Rhinolophus ferrumequinum: one gene and its partner. The protein of the gene in region 2 interacts with the protein of the main gene of each other region in a pairwise test. Links are inferred from orthologs where the notes say so. Each region holds a gene or a part of one and is shown on either strand. Other genes may lie near its edges.

Evidence for each region. The genes of interacting proteins can lie anywhere in the genome.
Region 1: the proteins of TRAF3IP1 (region 2) and PCNT interact in a two-hybrid assay, tested with the Homo sapiens proteins (2 studies listed by BioGRID and IntAct). The link is inferred for Rhinolophus ferrumequinum from reciprocal best matches to the Homo sapiens genes TRAF3IP1 and PCNT.

What each region holds. Positions count from the first base shown.
Region 1 is NC_046285.1:109,018,301-109,022,044, forward strand, and holds the start of PCNT (pericentrin), read left to right. Parts: upstream 1-1,082; 5' UTR 1,083-1,110; coding exon of another isoform or gene 1,111-1,160; 5' UTR 1,161-1,222; coding exon 1,223-1,457; intron 1,458-3,130; coding exon 3,131-3,186; intron 3,187-3,744. Other genes in the region: pericentrin, read left to right, coding at 780-948, 1,111-1,160. UniProt on the Homo sapiens protein: Integral component of the filamentous matrix of the centrosome involved in the initial establishment of organized microtubule arrays in both mitosis and meiosis. Plays a role, together with DISC1, in the microtubule network formation.
Region 2 is NC_046291.1:2,182,177-2,185,920, reverse strand, and holds the start of TRAF3IP1 (TRAF3-interacting protein 1), read left to right. Parts: upstream 1-1,503; 5' UTR 1,504-1,607; coding exon 1,608-1,730; intron 1,731-3,744.

The DNA of each region.
Region 1 (3,744 bases), on a different chromosome or scaffold from region 2:
GGTGGCCCTCCCTGTGACCTGTTGTCCTGGACAGTGAGGAGAGAAGGTCATCTTCCACGCCCTGAGCACAGCTGTCTTGCCCTGACCTTCCCCGGGAGTGACAGAGCCCGCTGTGTGTGGTGGCCTCATACCCAGAGTGTGCGGGGGCAGGGGTTGGCTTGCAATCAGTCCCAGTGTCCTATATTCTGTTGCAGTGACTGGAGGGCAGACAGGCTCAGCTGGCCTGCGTCTGGCTTCCGACTTGACACTGAGCCCCTCAAACAGGCCTCATATTCTTCTGTAGTTGTTTTATTGGGACATAATTCACAGAACAGAATGCAGCACTTCTCACTGTACACTTAAGTGGCTTTAGGACAGTCAAGAGTTTGTGCATCCGTTACCGCTAAATCTAAGACGTTTGTGTGCATCATTCCGAAAGGAAACTGTCTGCATTGGCAGTCACTAAATTCTGGCGGCCACCAGTCTGCGTTCTGTCTGTGGACTCACCTGTTCCGGACGGTTCATGCAGATGGAGCTGTCAGTGTGTCTGGCTTCTCTCACTGAGTGTGTTTTGCAGTTCTTCGGTGTTGTAGTGGGTCAGAAGGTCATGACACCCCATTGTGTGCGGGCACCCCTCTTGCTTTCTGCTCACCCGCCGGCGGACACTTGGGTTTCTCCCACCTTTGGCGACTGGGAGTAGTGCTGAGTGAACACTCATGGACGCACCTCTGGGAGGACATGTGGTCATTATGTTCAGGGGCTGAATTCTCTGGGTCACGTGTCTTGCCTTCCTTCCTTAGGAGTGTGAACGGGCCTGTGCGTCTGCAGGTGCTGAGTCGATGGGCCAAGCTGAGGACGAGGCTGGTGGGCAGTGGTGGACAATGGGGGGGCGTCCGCCTACAGCAGAGGAGCAGCAGGGGCAGCTGCCAGCCCAGGTGACCCGGGTGCTCACGATTCTTACCTGGGCCCGTGGGTTTGGGATCTGGGGGTGGCAGGTGGGAGAGGTTTGTCACAGAGTGGACGGGTGTGCAGGGCAGGCTGGCTGTGTCTGCTTTCCTGCTTGGTTTTGTTTTCATGTCTCGTGTTGGGACTTTGAGAGGGAGGGACATTGTGGACACCTGTTGACCACAGTTCAGGCCAGGTGCCAGGGACCCTCCCTGCACGGCCAGCCTGTTCCCTAGCCGCTGCTCATCCCACTCCATATGTGTCCGTGCTGTGGGACGGGAAGCCGCCTCAGCTCGCCATGTCCCCACAGCCAGCGGCCGCCCTGGAGCTGGAGGCGCTGCGCCTGAGCCTGAGCAACATGCACGTGGCACGGCTGGAGCTGGCACAGGCGCATCTGCAGCGGGAGAAGGACAGCGCGCTGACCGAGCTGCGGGACATGCTCAACGGCCGGCACGCCCAGGAGCTGGCCCTGCTGCACAGCAGGCAGCAGCTGCAGCTGGAGGAGCTGGCACGGCGCTACCACCAGGAGACAGGTACATGCCTGCTGGCCGCCGTTGGAAACACATGGGGGAGCAGGTGGCCTGCAGAGGTGCCCCGGGCGAGGCGTTCCCACCCGAAGCTGCGTGGTGCGTTCCACGGGGCGCCTGCTCTGGGCACTGGCCCCTGGGCCTCCTGGCTGGCAGGCTCCGCATGTCCTTATCCTTCTCTGCTGTCCCCTCGCCTTTCATCCATTTGTCCAGTGGGTTTGTGTTAACTTTGAAATGATGTTGTTGGAGGTAGTTTGCTCTCGTGCTGCAGGTTTCTGTCTCTGCACCTTTGGTGGGACCGTGTCTGGCCTACCTGGATGCTCATGGACACAACCCCACGTCTCACAGGCTCCTTACCCTGCACCCCACGGCACTCCTGTCCCCTGATTCTCTGGCCAACCCCAAGCTCTGTACGTCTAAGATGTATTTCATGTTTTCATTTTAACGTGTCTGGTACATTTTTTGTTAAAGTGCTCACTAATTTTTGTAAACACTGGGTTTCTAAAGCCTAGCGTCACCAAGCAGTGGTACACCTGTTTACAGTGCACACTTGAGTGGCCTTCTGTGTGTCACAGACTTGTGCTGACATCACATTGTCTAGTTCAGAGCGCTCATCACCCCGAAAGGCAGCCTGTGCCCGTTAGCAGCCCCCCGCTTTTCTGCTGGCACGAGTACCTGCTTATCTACCTGCTGGGGTTCTCCTTTGAGCTGTGAGGGCCCCAGGCGGGCTCTGGCAGTGTGAGAAGCCCTGCTCCTTACCTGTGGGCCCACCCCCACTGGAGAGCACATCTCAGGTCCTCGTGCCGTCCCATGTGTCCTCATGTGGGTTCAAACAAACGGAAATAATGTCGTTTTACACCCCTGATTTTGTTTATTTTTTAAAATACAAAACATGGTGTGCCTCAGGCCCCTTCCGATGCTGTCTCCTCCAGGTACACCTGAGAATGAGTCCACGAGGCCCACACCTGCCCTCTGCTCCGTGAGGCTCGGCCGGGGTGGGGTTTGTCCTCAGAGGGTGGCAAGTGGCCCTTGGCCTTAAGTCGGGACTTGCTCAGGCTGCCCTCACTGCATGCGTGGCACCAGCTGCCGCCTGGTGCCACCTCTCCCCAGCTCCACCCTGGCCTTTCCTGAGGCTCCAGCCATGTCCGCCTGGCACCCTGATTGCCAGGTGTACACCCCCCTCTCAGGCCACATCTGCCGCCTGCACCCCAGGCCAGCAGCGTCCTGCTCCTCCACCCACAACCCCTGGGCCTCTGCCCTTGTGCGGCCTCCCTGGGGGCTGGGGGTTGTTGCACCCTAGAACATCTCTCCCTGCCTTGGCTTACTTGTGCTCCGACTCCTCATCTGGAACCTGGCCCCATGTGAAGCGGACAGGCTGGGGTCCCACCAGGAAGAGGCGGCCTCAGCGTCCTCAGTGACCTGTGCAGCCCCCGAGCTCACTGGCCTGTCATGCTGGCTGGGAGGCCCGCTGGCCTTGGTTTGGCCAGGAATACAGTTTGTTAATTAAAGCAGACATCGTCATGCTCTTGCTCCCTCACAGGTGTGTCCTGTTGTCCCATTGATGCTGGCGGGTGCTTTTGTTGAGTGGCAGTGGGCGTTGGGAACCCTCTCATCTCCTGGGGGAGGAGATTGTGGAAAAGTCTGAGACGCGGTGATCTGAGTGACTGTTTTTCTTGCAGCTGAGCTGAAGGAGAAGTTACAATCAGAAACGGAGAAAAATGCCCAGATAACAGAGGTGTGTATGATCAGAAAATGTCGTTCTGCGTACGCAGTGCTCTTCCCTTTCTCCCTATCCCGCCACCCTGGAGCCCTACACCAAAGCCCCTATGTTGGCTCAGGCAGAAGCCAGGCAGCTTTGGCGATGTGCTGTAGAAAAGTGTTGCGTTGTCAAAATTCAGAGGTGAAGTGTTCTTCTTGTGCAGTTTAAAATTGGCAAATGGCTTGTTGTGTCATACGAGGCCCTTGCTCCCAAGTCTGCTTTTCTCAGTGGCCCTTGCTGTGCTCACGCAGGGTGTGGACTGAGCGAGACGTGTGGGGAGGGTGTTGGGGCGCCTGGGGACCTCAGAGGGAGAGGTGTGCCTGGGGGGACCGCCTGGCCGCAGGGTCCACGCCTGTGAGGGCCGTGGTTGGCCCCATTCACAGTGCTGACCACACCGCATGGCCTGCCACTGTCCTGCTGCTCTCACCCACACCCCCTTTTGGGGGAAAGAGCTGTGTTTCGCGTATAATACAATCAGTTCTTCCCTGGGGAAGTCTTTCACTGGGACTTCTGATCCTCCTGGACTGTCCCATT
Region 2 (3,744 bases):
GTAAATGGCCTTAGTAGTGTTATTCATAAATAACAAAAAATGGAAAGCAACCCAAATGTCCATCAACTGGTGAATAAATAAACAAAGTGTTCTATGCAATATTACTCAGCCATAAAAAGGAATGACATTAATATATGTAGCAACATGGACGAATCTCAAAAACATAAGAGAAACAAGTAAACACAAGACTACGTACTGTACAACTTCATTTATATGGAACTCTAGAAAAGGCAGAATTATAATAACAGAAACCAGATTCGCGGTTGCTTGGGTTGGGATAGGGGAAAGAGATGGACTGCAAGTGAGCGTTTTAGGGCGCAGGAATCTTCTGTCTTGATTGTGGTGGTGGTAACATAATTGTATATAATTACCAAAATGCACCAGCCTGCACACTTAAAATGGGTGAATTTTATTGTAGGTCAATAATAATTAAGTATAAATTTTAAGTAAAAAAACTCCACACCTAGATACATCATGGGTAGGCTTACGCAAACCAACAGTGAAAAGAAAAGTCTTCAAGGCAGCCAGATACACAACAGACAGAACAAAAATAACTACAGCTGTCTTCCCTTTAGAAACTCTGTAATCCAGAAGGGAATGGAGTAAAATCTTTAAAGTACCGAATGAAAGAAAACGACCAGAATTCTATAGTTGTTGACACGATCTTTCAAATGTGAAGGTGCAATATAGACTTTCAGACAAACAAAAGGTGAGGGCATTCATTGCCAGCTGACCTGTGCTAAAAGATTCAATAAAGGACGGTCTTCAGACAGGAGCCTGACACCAGATGGAAATTTCGATCTACACTAGCAATGAAGAGCATTGAAAATGGTGGGGGGGAGAAAAAGTAAATAGAAGCTATAAAGGTATGCATTAGAAGAACTAGGAACAGACCACACGCTTCCAGATTGCTAGAAGGCTTTCTGCAGTGCACCTGTGCGGGGTGGATGGAACACAGGTGGGACGGAAGCACAGACAACCTGGCACAACGAGCGCTGGCGCCACCGTTTGGCTCTCACCTCCCTGGGAGTTAGGGAGGCTGGCACACGCTGACCCTACTTTACAGGAACAGAAACGGTATCTCAGAGAAGACGAGTTCCTGCTGTACTTCACCAGGAAGCCGCATTAAGTAACAGGATTGGGCGTTTTCTATTCCGTGTTGTTTGAGTTAACTTGGTCCCCTTGGAATCTGTGAAACAGGCAGCACAAGTCTTGGAAGTGGCGTCGCTGTGAACCAGCCCTGGCGGTCCCCTCTAACACGCGGCGAGCACCTTCCTGCTCCCCGAGGCCGTTGGGAGGGTCCAGGGAGAGGACGCCACCAGCCCACTCGCAGCGAGGCAGTGGGCAGGGCAGACCCCCGCCCAGCGTGCGCGCGCAGCAGGCGGGCAGGGGGCGGAGCGCCGCGGCGCGTCCGTTGCTAAGGCCGCGCCGCCCTGGCGACCGAGCGCTCGCGGCCCCGCGCACGCGCCCTGACCGACTCCGGTGCACTGTGGGATGGAAACCCGAACGGCGCGTCTGGGCAGGAGCAGGCGGCGGCGGCGGGGCCGGAGCGGCGGGAGAGCGGGGCTTGGACTCGGCGGGCCGGCGGGAGCGCGGGCGGCGCCGCCATGAACGCGGCGGTGGTGAAGCGGACGCAGGAGGCTCTGGGGAAGGTGATTCGGAGGCCGCCGCTGACGGAGAAGCTGCTGAGCAAGCCCCCGTTCCGCTACCTGCACGACATCATCACGGAGGTGGGTGCGGCTCCCGGGTCGGGGCTCGGGTGCGGGGAGCGGGTCGGGACCGAGGGCGCGGGCGGGGTCAGGGTCGGGGCCGGAGTGAGGGCCAGGGGTCAGGGCCCAGGTGGGAGTCGGGGCCCAGGTGCGGGTCGCGGATGAGGGTTGTGGTGCGAGCCGGTATCAGGGCCCAGATGGGGGTCCCGGCCCTGGTGCGGGTCGAGGTCGGGGCCCAGGTGTGGGCTGGGGCCCGAATCAGGGCTAGCGTCAAGGTCGGGCCTCACGTAGCTGTGCGCAGCTCCTGCCCGGGAGCCTGCCTGGCCTGCGGCCCAAGGGGTGACCGTGGGCCCAAGTCGGTGATGCCTCTGCGAGGTGTTCATCACCCTCACCCCTGCTCTTCCTTCTCATCCATCCCTGCACCTCCTTTTCTGGGGAGTCTCCCGGCCCCTCTCAGGGAGCATTATATCTTTCCAGCCTACCTGTGTATCTGTTAGAGCACATACTCTGTTCTGCCTGCCAGAGCTGTTTTGTGGTTCTTTTCCTTCAGTGCCTAGCACGCCCCCTCCCCTCCAGGTTTTCCTCCGCAGGGCTCTGCACACTGGTCACCACATATTGGATGTTTAATGGACACCTGTGGTTGTAGGGGAACCGGAAAGGGAAACTATAGAAGAGCAGGTTAGTATCTGCTGATAAACGGCACAGCCTGCCTTCAGTTGAGATTGGTTGTTGACTTTTCCCCAGTGGAAGGTGAATTCCTCAATGACGGGGACCGTAACTGTTTTGTTGGCATGTCCCGGGTGGCACTGGGTACGGTACACAGAAGGGGCACAACAAACAGTCACTGTTGAGTGGAATCTGTCAAGGCTTCTGGCTCAGGGAGGCGGTGCCGGTTCCTATGGTGCATCTCAGGTGGGTATTGAACTTGGAAACTAGGGTGTACTCCTTGGGAGTTAGGAATCAGGCTGAGCTTGGAGACTGCCGGGGCTCCTGATCTCTCTCCACGGTGGTCCTCGAGCTTCATTTCTCACTCTTTCCAATAGGCTGGACACTTTACTCTTCCACAAACTTTGCTTTACTCATTTCTGTGATCTTAACTTAGTTTCTAATGTGTGCCTCTGTGTTAAAAACCCCAATTGTGCTGAAAACTTTCTGGAATCCCACCCACATCCCAAGGGCTGTCTGGCCTGGCCTCTTCCTCCTGCAGCTAGTCCCCAGCACTTCCAGCTGCTCTGGACAGTGTCTGCGGAAGGGACGTGGCTGTGTGGGGAGCCCAGTGGGTGCTGGGCCGCGTGCTGCGTCACCTCTGCCCTGTGCGGTAGGCAGGTAGCGTGCTCTAACCCAGGAGGGAACAGGTAGTCACCAGGACATGGGCCTGGCTGAGCACAGCGGCTGCCGCCACGGCCTCATGCTCTCATCTTCTGTGTTGGTCCTGTGAGCCCACTGAAAAGCGAGTCAGGAAGGGAGTGGGGGGACATGCCTCATCCTGTGGGACTTGGTGTGCTCTGGGCAGACATATTCGAATGCATTTTCAGATAATAGGTGGAGAGCCTTGTATGAAAATTCTTTACTGCCCCGGAGGGTTGTATTCAAGCCACCATCTTAGTATTTTAGCTACAGCTAAACCAACTTTGCCTCTTTCATGAATCAAAGCACTGGTCTTGTGACATCAGTATCTCTTGTCACTTAAAATTATTGCTGACAGTTTTAACTGCCAACGAACTGGGAAAACCTTGAAAGAAACAAGGGAAAAGTTGCCAGGAATATAAAGTGTAGGCTACTCTTAATATTCCACCTGTCTTCTCAGGAAAAATAGTAGCATAGCTCTTAATTAATTAAAAATAGTAGCCCAGCTCTTAGGTAGTTTGATGAGGAATGAAAGCTAGCTCAGTTCATAGCTTGCTGTAGCTTCGTCTCAGAGAAGCCTGCTATTAGCATGCGACTGTCCTCGTTTTTAAACACGGCTGGCAGTGATACATATGCTTTGTATCCACCCAGGACACACACATATACAGGTGTACTCATCCTTGCTACA